Linked DNA regions of Schizosaccharomyces pombe. Each later gene encodes a partner of the first gene's protein in a complex. Each region holds a gene or a part of one and is shown on either strand. Other genes may lie near its edges. A codon is read from its position in the direction of its gene.

The links.
Region 2: the proteins of med7 (region 1) and srb7 are in contact, whole or in part, in a crystal structure (PDB 5N9J), measured with the Schizosaccharomyces pombe proteins. Residues at the interface, in NP_596734.1 of Schizosaccharomyces pombe: Gly203 (codon at 4,870), Phe204 (codon at 4,873), Arg205 (codon at 4,876), Ala206 (codon at 4,879), Asp207 (codon at 4,882), Gln208 (codon at 4,885), Arg224 (codon at 4,933), Ala225 (codon at 4,936), Leu228 (codon at 4,945), Arg229 (codon at 4,948), Ser232 (codon at 4,957), Arg233 (codon at 4,960), Leu235 (codon at 4,966), Met236 (codon at 4,969), Phe239 (codon at 4,978), Ile260 (codon at 5,041), Leu264 (codon at 5,053), Leu267 (codon at 5,062), His268 (codon at 5,065), Ile271 (codon at 5,074), Asn272 (codon at 5,077), Tyr274 (codon at 5,083), Arg275 (codon at 5,086), His277 (codon at 5,092), Gln278 (codon at 5,095), Arg280 (codon at 5,101), Glu281 (codon at 5,104), Leu283 (codon at 5,110), Ile284 (codon at 5,113), Leu287 (codon at 5,122); in NP_596630.1 of Schizosaccharomyces pombe: Cys3 (codon at 3,398), Arg4 (codon at 3,401), Cys5 (codon at 3,404), Thr6 (codon at 3,407), Leu8 (codon at 3,413), Gln9 (codon at 3,416), Ile12 (codon at 3,425), Asp13 (codon at 3,428), Ala16 (codon at 3,478), Phe19 (codon at 3,487), Ser22 (codon at 3,496), Ile23 (codon at 3,499), Leu65 (codon at 3,730), Phe69 (codon at 3,742), Ile72 (codon at 3,751), Asp73 (codon at 3,754), Ile76 (codon at 3,763), Asn77 (codon at 3,766), Leu79 (codon at 3,772), Pro80 (codon at 3,775), Gly81 (codon at 3,778), Ile82 (codon at 3,781), Ser83 (codon at 3,784), Thr84 (codon at 3,787), Ala85 (codon at 3,790), Pro86 (codon at 3,793), Gln89 (codon at 3,802), Lys92 (codon at 3,811), Ile93 (codon at 3,814), Lys95 (codon at 3,820).

What each region holds. Positions count from the first base shown.
Region 1 is NC_003423.3:4,168,445-4,177,938, forward strand, and holds med7 (mediator complex subunit Med7), read left to right. Parts: upstream 1-3,915; 5' UTR 3,916-4,197; coding exon 4,198-4,443; exon of another isoform or gene 4,444-4,509; coding exon 4,510-5,394; 3' UTR 5,395-5,554; coding exon of another isoform or gene 5,555-7,003; 3' UTR 7,004-7,344; downstream 7,345-9,494. Other genes in the region: ubiquitin ligase Doa10, read left to right, coding at 1-3,041; adenylosuccinate lyase Ade8, read right to left, coding at 5,555-7,003; SPOM_SPBC14F5.10C (ubiquitin-protein ligase E3), read right to left, coding at 7,808-9,268.
Region 2 is NC_003423.3:3,912,370-3,917,003, reverse strand, and holds srb7 (mediator complex subunit Med21), read left to right. Parts: upstream 1-3,365; 5' UTR 3,366-3,391; coding exon 3,392-3,433; intron 3,434-3,474; coding exon 3,475-3,568; exon of another isoform or gene 3,569-3,621; coding exon 3,622-3,651; exon of another isoform or gene 3,652-3,699; intron 3,700-3,703; coding exon 3,704-3,954; 3' UTR 3,955-4,134; downstream 4,135-4,634. Other genes in the region: importin alpha family nuclear import signal receptor adaptor Imp1, read right to left, coding at 1-378; exoribonuclease Rex4, read right to left, coding at 1,452-2,201, 2,276-2,308; atp17 (F0-ATPase subunit F), read left to right, coding at 4,495-4,548, 4,601-4,634. UniProt on the Schizosaccharomyces pombe protein: Component of the Mediator complex, a coactivator involved in the regulated transcription of nearly all RNA polymerase II-dependent genes.

The sequences.
Region 1 (9,494 bases):
TAGCAATGGTGATGGAGCATTTACGCGAGCGACAAGAGCAAAGAAATTTAGAATTGCAAAGAAACGGATCTTTTGAAGAAATCGAGAGAGCTCGTCAGCGATTTGCTCTTCTGGGGGACAATATTCGAGAGCCGCAAGAGGAGGAGAATGATGTTGATGTCGATGAAATTTTTAATAGGCAACAACTGAATCAGCCAGCCCTAGACCTTAATGATGCAAATTCTAGTAATTCCGTACCTGTAGAATTTAATTCACTCCATTCTCAAAACGTCGATTATCGTGATGAGGTAGATTCTTTGCGACCCCAGTTTAATGTTGATGAGCAATCTTCAATCTCTCATAGTTCAAATGCTTCGGAGAATATTGTAGATGGAGCCGTTACCCAAGCCAATGGAATTGAATCTGATTTTACTAGAGTGGATCATGAGCCTATTATTGTCAATAATGATGATGAAAACGGTAACAATGAATCAGAGAATGAAGAGGTTATTGAAGAAGATAATTTAAATAGGAATGTTATAGCTGAGGCGCAAAACCAAGTCGTCGCTGACGAAGAAAGAAATGCCGTTGCTCGCGCCGCCCAAATAGCTGAAGCTGATGATGCTGACGATTTTGACGGTATACTAGAATTTCTAGGTCTTCGAGGACCCATTACTGGATTCTTGCAAAATTGCCTCGTTATTGCTTTCGTCGTTTCCGTATTCTTGACAACGGCTGTGGGTATTCCATACATGTCTGGACGCCTTATGGTTGAGTGGATTTTGTTTATCATTCATCGCCCGACGTTTATATTACGTTTTATACTATCTTTCGTTAACATTTTATTTGACTGGACTGTTGGTGGGGCTTTTAATATTGTGAAAATATTAACTAAACTTCCTCTGTTATCAACTGTTTTCGTAAAACTTAAGCTTCAAGGAATTTTTTCTTCTTCTTTCCAACAGGTTTCAAATAATATGTATAGTTGGATATATGATCATGTATTTTCTTCTTCCGATCATGCCTATGAATCGCTGATATATTATATGAAAACTGGACATAAGCAAGTCGTTCAATCATTTTCTATTTTTCCGGTTTTCAGGGTTTGCCAAATGTTTGCTGTCATACTAAAAGATTTTGTTGAAAATTACTCTAATAGACCAGTAGACCGAGTTTTTACTACGCTTATCGGATACTGCATGTTTACGTTTTTAGGGATTTCATATCTTAATCGCAAACAATTTCTATTTAATGACCCTCAAATCAGGAATGTGGAATTAGCTTTTAGAGAAGTTTTGAGACAATGCGGATCTATAGCAAAATTCGGAATAATTTTTTCTATCGAATTGGTTGTTTTTCCTATTTTCTGCGGGATATTGCTAAGCATGTGCTTAATTGGCACTTTCAAAAAGCTTGCTGCCGAGAATCTTCTCAATGTAATGACAGTTTATCCAGCACAAAGCATTTTTTTGGCATGGTTCATTGGGATAACATTTATGTTTGAGTTTGCGGTTTTCATTTCCATGGTACGTAAAATTGTTCGTCCTGGAGTCCTGTATTTTTTGCGTGATCCAAATGATCCTCAATTTCATCCAATTCGTGAAATTTTAGAGAAACCTATGCTCTTTCAATTGAAGAAAATTGGATTCAGTGCAATACTCTATTTCGCTTTTATTATTGGCTGTGTTGGTAGCGTTATCCATCTTTTAAAGTCAACTGGAATAATTTTTCCTATTGAATTCACTACTAAGCCTGCTGTGTTTGAAGCACCAATTGACTTGTTAGCGTTAGAAATTCTCATATTTTTAAGTATTAAATTATTTAAACCTCTCGAACTCACTAGAAGTTTTTGGCGAACTTTGGTGTCAACATTCTGCAGATGTTTACGTCTATCATCATATGTTATGGGTCAAAGGTATAGTGATGAAGAGGGTTATTATCCCAAGCAATATTTTTCTTTTCTTAGAAGGATTATAAGCAAACCTTCGGATACCGAAAACCAAGATGATGGTGATAAGCAGAAAGCAAAGAAAGACTTTGTCCAAGACGGTTTCTTTTTGTGGTGTCCTTCTAAGGATGTTGTGCCAGTTCGCCAAGGAGCCATGCTTATACCTGTGACAGAAAATGGTTATGAAATTTTTGGTGAAAAAAAGAAGGTCGAAGAAAATGCGGACTATACCATTACTTATGCACCTTCTAATTTTTATAAGCGTTTGATCGCTTTGTTGTTATTTTGTTGGATATGCTCAACACTTGTGACAGTATTGTTAGTGTTTGTTCCACTTTCATTAGGAAGAGCTATTTATGCTTGGTGCTTTCCTAATGTGGTAAAGCACGATTTTTATGCTTACGCCATTGGATTTTACTCTATTTCTTTTCCAATGTATGCAATTCACGCGTCTGTTAAGTTTCTGAAACTTGACTATTTACGAAGCCTTATGAATAAACTAAATTTAAAAATTGTTATGAGGAGCTTAGTAATGGCGTTAAAATATCTTTTATTAGCATTCCTTGGAATATTTATCTTACCACTCTTACTTGGAGCTATATGGGAATTATACGTCGCTATACCTTTCCGAACGATATTTAACAGAGGGACTCTTGCTCTCGATGCATTCCAAAACTGGGTGATTGGTCTTTTTATGCTTCGTATGATATATTTTACTGTGACTTCTAATGAAGAGCGTTTCGTTTCAAGGTTGTTTCAAGATGCTTTTCGTGATAGATGGACGAATCCTCAAATTCTTCCATTATTAAAAAATGTTCTCATCCCTTTTACATCAGCCTTAATAGCCGCCGTTGTGTTGCCAAGTGTTTTTACTTACGTAACCTATCCTTTTCTTTCATCCATTTTCCCTTCTGCATCTAAAACCCTTATGTATCGGTTGATGCATCCTATATTTTTAGCATTACTTGGGCTAGCACTCTTGGGGCGCCGTTTTGTAGAAACTAGTAGTAAATGGTCGCAAGGAATACGTGATGATTTATACTTAGTTGGTACGAGACTGCACAACTTTGGCGAATCTGCTCCTCCAGCCATTTCTGAGTCTGCCGAAAAATAAAAGTCTAGTCATCTACTATTTTTCAGATTATCCTTCTCTTTGGAAAACTGGAGCGAGGACATCTGAAGTAATATAGAGCATTGTGAATGTATATTATTTGAATGATGTTTTTGTTTTAATTGCTACGAAACTGTTAGTTTAGTTGCAGGAAATTACAAAAAGTCATCGTTTGAACAATTGGTTTGTTATTGTTATATTGCCAGGCATCTTATCCAATTTATCGTAACTGGTATTATCATGATATGGTGCTATTTATTTAATTTTCTTTACAAAATTGAACAAATATCAATTATCGTTGAATTTCTTTGATGTATCTGATGACTGTATCAAACCGTAGCAGCGAAAATTTGCAGACAATCACTAGCAATGGATAAATTAGTTAATTACTAAAAAGAAACAGTTATAACAAATATGTTTACTACGGTTATGTGACAAATTTATGAAAATGTAAAAGTTCGTAGTATTGCATGTGTTGATTTTGTAATCCATTCAATACTAACTAATCCTTCGTATAGAGGAATATCAAAATACTTTATCACTTAATCAATTTAAATTTTACGATTATGTTGGCCTAGTAAAATATTCATGTTAAGGATTTTATGGCATTCAACAATAGCGATAAGCTGTAATATTACAAGTAATAAACTCCTACTTAATTCGTTTCCAAGCCCATTTATTAAAAAGAATAATTCAGTGTTGTTAAAAGAAACACTGCAATTCTCTAAAAATTAAAAAAGCCAAGAAGTGTATAATTTTAAGCTACTTTAATCAGTGAAACTAATTTAAAACCAAGAATGATTAAAGATATCGAAATAAACAATTTATAGCAAAATTTATTGGTGATAGAAGCTTTCACTTCGTATTCCATATGCCAGATAAAACTACCCACTTTTACTGACTATTCCAAAATCCATTTTGAGCAAAAGATCGGTTATTTTCAAGTGTTTTTATATTCAGGATTTTCATGTCAATCAGTTATTGAGCGTCATATCGTTGTTCAATTACGGTTTTCTTAACATTATAGAAACTGCTTTTCTAAAAAAAAAAAGAAAAAAAAAGAGCAGGCATTTTTATACTAAGAATCAGCGATAAAAGGGAAGACAGTTACATCAATCTAAAATCTAGTTTACGATAAATACTATTTAACTAAAAGAGAATGGAACCAAACGAAGGAGTACAACTGTTTTCGGCTTTTCCGCCTCCACCTCCATATTATAAGTTATTTACAAGAGAAAACATAGAAAAAGTAATTTCAAATATGGAGAAAGAAGCAAAACATGAGGATGACGCGAATACTTTACAACCTAAGACTGAAGAAGAAATAGAGTCGCTGGCCAAGCTGTTTAAGAAGCCGTCATGTCTCACATCTGGGACTTATCAAATGTTTGGTGACACATGGAGGGTAAGTTTATTTTTATTGTTTTACATTAGCTGCTTTTCATCTCTCACTAACTTATATCGCTTATAGCTAGACGAAGCTATACCTTCACTCAAAGAATTTGGAATCCCTGAATTATATAAAGATATAAAAGATGGAGAAGATGAAATTGAAGTGGTAGAATATGATCCTAAATCCAATGCGATAGTTGGTACTAGTTTTACTCGTGTACACGATTATGATAAAAATTCACCAATTGAAAATGAAAAAATTCTGGAGGATGATCAACATACGGCCATGAAAGAAAAAGATAATGAATCTGATAAGACAATGAAAGATGTCGAGGAAAAGACTGAGCCCTCTCTTAAAAAGGAAGAGGAGGATATACAAATGAAGGAACCTTTAGATTCTCAAGATACTGGAGCTGTTTCAGCTTCTTCGGTAAACGAAGGTTTCCGGGCAGATCAAAAATCAAAGGATGGAGAAACGAGTGATTTGATAAAAATTCCCCGGCGAGCTTATGAACTACGATTTTTATCCCGCTCACTTATGCTTAACTTTCTTGAACTCCTAGGGATTATGGCGAAGGCACCCGAACAGTTTCCTTCTAAGGTTGAAAACATTAGGGTGTTGCTGCTCAATCTCCATCATTTAATTAATGACTATCGTCCACACCAATCTCGTGAATCTTTAATTATGCTTTTAGAAAAACAATTAAAACATGAAGAGTCGCAGGTTGAGCTATTACGTACTCATAACCGGCAAATGACCGAAACTTTGGAAAAGTACAAATCATTAGATTTTAATATGGAGAAGGAAGGAGATGTGATTCAACAATTAAAGTCGTCAATAAAAAAGCCATTGTCAGGCGCTGAAGATGAGCAAAAGTCTAGGTCTATGTTCTCAAAAAATGACGAGAAATTAAAAAAATCGCTTGAATTAATGGAAGACGTGATAAAACGAGATCTTAGCTAATAAACCGGTTTATCTAGTAGAGTTATTTTGCTATTTCCTCTGCTTTTAATATTTGTTTTACAAACAAAAATTCATACTAACGATGAAAAAAATGTATTCTTTCTATTTTAAACAAATCAAAAAAGTTCGTATCCACTACGAAGCAAACCAAAATTTATATTTAAACGGCAAGATCAACCTTTTCCTCAGTGATCATGCTCTTGAAAGGCGCAAGCGCTTGAGAGACGTCCTTATTTACAAAGGATTCAGTCTGCTCGGGAGCACGTCCAACAAAAGTGGATGCATCCAACAAAGAATCTAGCTCATCATAAATAGGAGCAAAATAAGGAGTATTCTTAATACGCTCAATTAAGTCGTTATCCCCTCCCTCTTCCTTGACTACTCGGCCAGCTTGATGAGACAAGACACGAATCTGCTCGTGACACTCATGACGACTAGCACCGTGCTTAGTCATAGCCATGATAATGTTTTCAGTGGCCATGAAGGGCAATTCAGCACGAATGTGTTTTTGAATAACCTTAGGATAAATGACCATACCAGAAATAACGTTCAATAGAATCTTAAGAACGCTATCTGTAAACAAGAAGGCTTCAGGTAACAGAGAACGACGGTTAGAGCTATCATCCAAAGTACGCTCAAACCATTGAACAGAAGCAGTATTAAGAGCATTAGGAATCAAGTTCATAATATAACGAGCTTGAGAACAAATACGTTCACAACGCATTGGATTACGCTTGTAAGCCATAGCAGAACTGCCAATTTGACCAGCCTCAAATGGCTCTTCTACTTCTTTCAAATTAGCAAGGAGACGGATATCAGTTGCAATCTTATGAGCAGTAGCACCGAAAGAAGCTAATGGTTGCAAAACGTCAATATCGATCTTACGATCATAGGTTTGGCCGGTTACAGGATAAACGTTATCAAAACCGGAAAGCTTGGCAACCAATTTATCCAATTCCTCAACCTTGGCATGATCGCCCTCAAAAAGGGCTAAGAAGGAAGCCTGAGTGCCGGTGGTACCCTTGACACCACGGAAACCAATGTCATTTCTAGCTCTTACAAAATTTCTCAAATCCCATAAAAGCTCTTGAATCCAAAGAGTGGCACGCTTACCAACGGTAGTTAATTGAGCTGGTTGATAATGTGTAAACCCAAGAGTAGGAATGTCTTTGTATCGCAAAGACCACTGGCTAAGACGATTGATAACGTTGACTAACTTAGGGATCAAAAGATCCATGGCGCTGCGTAAGAAAATCAAGTCAGCATTATCGGTTACAAAACAGCTAGTAGCACCCAAATGAATAATACCAGAAGCAGCAGGAGCAGCAAGACCATATGTATAGATGTGAGCCATAACATCGTGTCTCTGACGCTTCTCTTCCTTAGCAGCGATTTCAAATTCTGGAGCTGTAATTTTGACATGCGCTTTAAGTTGCTCAATAGCTTCATCAGTAATTTGAGTTAAACCGAGTTGCTTTTCAGCAATGGCGAGATTCAACCACAATTGTCTCCAAGTATTAATACGCATTTCTCTTGAAAAGAGATGAGACATTTCAGCAGAAGCATATCTTGCTGTCAATGGTGTACTATATGAACCATAATCCTCCATATTCGATAATCTTAAGCTCGCCAAAAAATTTCTACCTGTTGTGGTGAATGGACAGTGAGGAACCAACACTAAGTAGTGCTCTACAAATGCTCCACCTTGAGAAGACCATCAGATTTATTATTTTGTAATTTCCATATTAATTAGTTAACGCGCATGAAAAATCAAACGATAATTTATTGTGCCTCCATGCTTCATATGTAGTATTCACCTAACCCACCAAGCAAATCAATTGAAGATCAAGTATAGAGGAGTAAAGGTGCCTTTCCACATATGTTAGCAATATTACAAAAGGGGTTATAAATTTACTTTAACCAATGCCTAAGTAAGAAAAAGACAGAGACCACTTCGTCAATTGAAACTTGTATTCTTAAACTAGTGAATATGAAATGTGAACTAGTAAGAGCAGAAAATTAATTTCTCTATAATGCCAAAATCTACTTCATCAGCAGATAACGAAAACCAAAATTATTTTGGATTATACTATTAAAATATCTTCACAGTGAAAAAGTAATAAACAAAAAACCATCAAGAAAAATAAATATTAAAAGTTGCAAACATCAACTATTAAATAAAGTGTGAAACAAAAAGAGAATTCTTGCTGTATTGGCATGGGTGTTTTTAAATTGGTCAAAGAAATATTCATGACAATCAACCCCAGATATTCTCAGATGCCAAGAATTAAGTGCTCATTTGTATAGGGTAATTAGATGTATTTTGATCGTTTTCGAGATAACCTTTCAGTAAATCAAAGGCTATATTTTATGGCCCATACAAAGGGCGCGCGACTTCAACTACAATTAAAACTCAAGCAATGGTGCAAGCACTTCCAACACGATACCACCAACTTTCTTGAAGTTGAGTTAACCAAATAAGAACCAAAACCAGTCGATCGGTCGGGTTGTCAACTTGCAAAATGCGAGTTTTCTCAAGCTCTGAGATAGGAAGAAGATTGGTGATTTTGTAAGACAAGTCAGCAATTGACTGTCTAGCCTCCATTTTTATATCGATTAAAGGTACAACCCAATGAACATATGTTCGGCGGGCATTCATGTAAAAAGCATCTATTCTTTCAACTAATTCTTCATTACTTAGATTACCATACATTAATAGATATTCAGGCTCAGGAAATTGGAGTGGAGTGGCTCTCAAAGGAGTATCATAGTGCTTTTCAATTTTCACTCTCGGAAACAAACCATCAGCTCGAAAATCGATTATACGAACACAATATGAACCACGGGCTTCTACAAGACTTCTCCCATCGATCAAAGGCTCGACTTGGATAATTTCTAAAATTGTACCATACTCAGAACAAAAAAGACGTTGACCACGAGCATTTCGAAGCTCTCGATGCTCATTATGACCATCACTTCGTGCTCTTAAAGGCATTGCAATACAAAATCGCTTAGAAGTCTCCAGACATTTTTTGATCATGATGTGGTATCGCAGTTCAAAAATATGAAGGAATGTCGGCATTCTGGGATATGCAAGCATGCTAATAAATAACGGAAGCCAACTTTCCTGTTCCTTTTCTTCTTCCCATGATTTTTGACGTTCTAACCAATTATCTGGGTAAAAATCTCGCAAAAATGTGGTAATAGAGTGGCTTTTCGCATGTTCCAACACAACAGGAGATGGGAGCCCAAAACGACAAGTCGGGCATTGAGGAGACTGGGTTAGTGCTTGCATAAGGCAAGGGCCACAAAATGTATGTCCACATGGAGAAACAACTGGGTCATAAAGCATGCCAAAACAAATTTGACATTCCAATTCTCGAGAAACATTCTCTTGTAATAGGTCCTCCATATGTAAAAATTCAGCTACTGCAGTCTCATAAGAAGATGAGGAAGGTATTAAGTTATGAAAAGTGGGAGGCAGCAGAGTAATTTCAGTCAATGCAGAAGTACAAGGTGGTGACGAAGAAAGACAATCGTCATGACAAATTTCCTCCTTTAATTCCAGCGGTACCAAACTCTGCTGAGAAATTTGAAACTCTGTAGTTTTAATCAATTCAACCACTTTGGAAATGATCACATCTTTCACTTCGGTCTCTACAGAATAATGCGGTTTCTTATGGTTGTAAAAGCAACATCTTGAGGGACTAACTTTTCCAGAGCTTTCCGAAGAATATGCGTTTCGAAAGCATTTCCGACAGACTGTTCCTCCACAAGGAAGTGTGACAGGCCAGTCAGGCAAACAATTACAGCCCGGACAAATAAAGTAAGACCTTATTTTATTAAATAATACTCCTGGCCTTTCTTTTCTCATTTTTAATCGCTCGTAAAACTAATTCAGATGTCGATTGCTAATGTCAAGTAATTTTACACTCGTTAATTCCATGGATGACTCCAGAGAATACTAGAAACTTAAAAATATTGTTTTTTTTTTTTTAAGAAAGAATATGAACCTTCTTCAATTATTTCAGTCGAAAAAGGAAAACCTCATTAATTCATGAAATTACTGATGACATATCTTCATCACGCACAAACACTTG
Region 2 (4,634 bases), 260 kb from region 1:
TACGAACCGGTCAACAACACCACAAGCAATTACCTGATCAATAGGGGGATGCGTCTCCTTAGAAAGATATTTCCTGAATTTCGTGACGGCACCTAATTGTAGCTCAATGTCGTCTGACATCACATCAGCTGTCAATTTAGGAAATTCATCTTTCATTTGTTGCTCCATTTGAACCTGAGACTGATCAGCCTCCTCTTCCACATCAATGTCATTTTGTAAAACAGCGTTTAAATTCCTTCGTTTATTCAAACTTTCCTCACGTTTTTGTTTGCGGATTTCAATTTGCTGTTCTTCACGTTGCCGACGAAGTTCATCAGCTTTGAAAACACCTTTGCTTTTAAAACGGCTTCTTCTATCTGATAAATATCTCGATTCCATTTCTATAGGAATAAACTTTTTTGATATCCTTTTTACTCTTTTTTTTTTAGTTATCTAAGACAGTTGTGGTTGCTGCGAGTTTAATGAGAATAAGGAGGTAAAAGAGCACTTGTGTCGTTCCAAGAAGCAGCCGGCACCCAGGTAACAATGTTCAAAAATAATAAATTTAGAATAATTTGAAATATATCATTTTCCGGTTCAAATCGTTGAAACTTTCTAGATCATTTTTGTTCTGTCATTGGAAACCTTCGCACCATAAAACGGGTAAAACAACATGCTTATTGAGCTCATCAACCAATTTTTCTTGGGTTTTTAACAAGCTGAATGCTATAACAAGAATTCAAAATTTAAAAACAAATGGAATTTTTCTTTAAACAACCTGTCAAGTTGGCCTATTTTTATTTTTATTTTGATTATATAATACATATAGTTGAGCAATTTAATCTTTGAATAAATACTTATTTTTCAAACACTTCCGTATCTGTTTTGTAAGCTATTAATATGTATACATTAATGGTCCATTGTCTAACTAGAATTTATTTGGTAGCTATTATTAATATATATATTTTTTATTTTTTTTGTGATAATAAAGATTAATTCGGTATTTATATAAATTTAGGAATTAACTTAACGGCGCTTGAAAACATATTATCGTCATTCAGTTAAAATGCTCTAAATCATATACACTATAGGAAGTAATCTAATTATATAACATTAACTTTATTAATTCACAAAGTAATTATGAAGACCATATAAACGAAGCTGATAAATCTCTATATCCTTGTTTTTTCCATACATTATTTCTTTCCTTCAGTTGTATGCATCATTTATTTATACTAAAAATTATTAATAGATTGACTATTTAAAACCAGAAACGAAGGAAACAGAAGAGATAAATAAAGAAAGAAAACCAACGATTTCATAAGAGCCAATGAAAACAATATTGCTGTTATAAGCAACCGAAAATATATTTAACATCTGACACATATCCAGTAAAATTATAAGAAACATTTTCTTGCATATTATTAAACCCAAATCCCAAATGACCAGAACGAAGTCTAGTGATTCAAAGCTTATGACTTTGACAAACCTTTGAATGCAACTTCATCCATTTCTTTTTTTACTTTCTTATATAATTCCATCGTTGCTTGGGCATCCTGGACGGAAGAATGCTGTCCAGATTGAATGTCACGCCCAAGAATCACTTCAGCAAGTTTTTTAAGCCCTGGTGTCCTTCCCTTGGCTAATTTCCGATACCCAGAAAATCTGCTGGTATCACGAATCATTCTTCTTGGATGCGATAAAAGTAGTACTTTGAGATCGTTATGGACAGCATGTCCAACCAATACTCGATTGTCGAGTATCTTAGCAACTTCTGCTTGTACTTTTTCAAATGAAGGTGCATCCCGCATGTGAAATGACTTGACACCACTGACCCATGTTCTCCAATCCGTAACCTTTTCTTTAGGACGGACATAAGTATCATACACGACATGACCATGATAATTAACTATACTGACGCGTGCAAGAACTGACATGTCATCTGCCACCCCAACCATTTCACAATCCATTGCAATATATTTCCCCAATGTTTCCAAATTGGTTTTTCTGGTAAGCTTGGAAGCATCCACGCCATATGCGTCAAGGACTTGAGATTCAGGGATATCATTTTCCTTAGCAAATTTCTTTAATTCATTCATGCGTTTTTTATCGACGATATAAGAATTCTCATTCTCATTGTTTTTACCTTTCACACTTTTAAGGTATTTCTTTTCATTAGAATGCTTTTTTTCAACCCGTCCACTCTTAGCGCTGTCGAGTTTCTAAACAACCAATACCGTTAGTATACTTAAACAAGAATCTTAAATGACTTAATGGAAACTATAGCCTTTCATACCTTCTTTAACTTTTCCCAATTGGAAGAAGACATTGCTTGTGCATAAGAGCCAAAGTTGGTGCAAGAAGCAATTTGCAACCTCTTTCAATATGATTCTCAACGCGGTATCACAAATATTTTATCACATTTTAGCACATTTCATTATTTTGAATAAAGCGTTGATGATAGTACGTTACGTTAAGTATCATTATATAAGTCACATGCCTTGTATTTATTTATCTATAGTATATATACATATATTGACAGTGATGCACCATTTGTTGCTTCTTGATGTAACTACTGCCAAATATACGAGACTATGAAATAAATTAACCTCCGTTCTTCGGGTCACCAATGAGCTATTTCAGTGTGTACCCACTTCGTAAGAATATTATAAGGTACCGGTGGTTAATGCATTTCCTAATAAAAGAATATTGTGAATATTCAAGACCCGTAGTAGCATATTCGTTAAACATTTAGTGATTTATGTTTGCTTAAAAGGATAGATTGTATTGAATTTGTAGCATTGTCCGCTATCTTTTTAAAAGCAGAGTACTGCAATTTTAATAACAATGCACCTTCACGTAATATGAAAACACTCAGAATGAATGGATTATCAAAAAGGTACTGAAAGGGGTGGGACTCGAACCCACGAGCTTTCGCACTAGTGCCTTAAACTAGCTCCATAACCACTCGGACACCCTTCCACGATCAAAAATATAATAAATATGTCGAATGTATTACTATTATCATTGTTTTTCTATGTTAATTAAAAATACTTAGCTGATTCTGTAGTTTCTGTAGTTTATTTTTTTTCGCTTTCCATTAATTTTTTTTTAAATTTTATGTACTGTTTTATGTTAAATTTCTTTTGCTTATGTCAAGCGTGATTCTAGCTTAATTCTTTTTCCCGATTGCTAGACAGTCGGTTTTTAGGTCGATACATTACAATTACAAACAATGTCATAAAATCAAAAGCTGTGCATAATAAATATCCGATGCTGAAATAACAGAAAAGTTAATTAGCGATTTATTGTTCTTGACATTTGCGCTTCAACAATTGTTACCTGCATCATGGACCTTCAACAACTTGCGACTTTCAACTCTTTTTAACTCATATTACACCTACATAAAAAAATGGCATGTAGGTGTACTCAGCTTCAAGATACAATTGATGAGGTAATGGGACTAGTTTTCTTTTTCTATTCTAACCTATGTAGGTTGCCACACAATTTTACTCTTCCATTCATTATTTAAGTTCTCATCATGATTTCGTTCCTTTACCTGGTCAAGAAAAGGTTTCTGATTCTAAAGGTATACAAGATTCATTATGATGCTATTCAAAGTAGCTACTAACAAATTATTAGTGAACCCAATTTCTGCTGAAGAGTTACAATGTACGATATTAGACGTCCTCTAGTCATTTTATGTGCTAACTTCTTTTTGTAGTCGCTCAAAGGGATCTAGCAAAAGACTTGGTTACAAAATTTATGCAAATAGACACTTTGATCAACCAACTTCCAGGTATTTCCACTGCACCAAAACATCAATTAGAGAAAATTAAAAAGTTACAAAACTCCATTGAAGAAAAACAATTGGAGAGGAAGAGTTTAGAATCAGAAAATGAAGATTTAAAATTACAATTGGCCAAGAGGATTGAAACATTTGGCCGGTTATCATGTGTCCTATTTCAGCCCTGATGATAATATGTAAGCAAAATATGCATACTAGCATACTCTTCTAGTTGCCAGATTTATTGAAGTTTTAAAATATCTTTGTCTGAGCTAAGAAAGAAGATGTGATCGCTGGAAGTGGGCTTATCATACGGGCAGCCTTAGATATACTGTTTTGACAAATGATTCCATTTTTATTAACGAGCTAATCTTTTTGAATCGATTTACATAAATATCTATCTACTTGTAGTTTTTAGAATGCCTTTACTTCATGCTGACGAGTACTTGACTGAAGTAACTAATTGTGAAAGCAGCTATGAAGTCTTAAAAAATAAACTAATAACAAACAGAATTTGAAAAGTAAAAAAATAGCAAATTAGCAAGGATAGTTTCTTATAGAAGAAAGAAAAAAATCCCTGATTTTTTAGAACGTTTAACGAAATTTACAAAACAATACGCTATTTTTGTTTAAGAAAAAAAAAATCCATTAACCATTCATTGCAAGTTCCTTTGCTATATACGACGGGAATTGAACATCACCATATTCACTTTAACTTAATTGTAATCATGGCTCCATTTCCTTTGAAATCGTTTATTCCCCCTCAAGTAGCGAATCCTACAGTAAGATTAATTAAAAAAGTGATAAATATAAACGAAAATCTAACTAAGATAGGCTTTGAATGCTTTTCCTAGCTCTGCTAGGATGG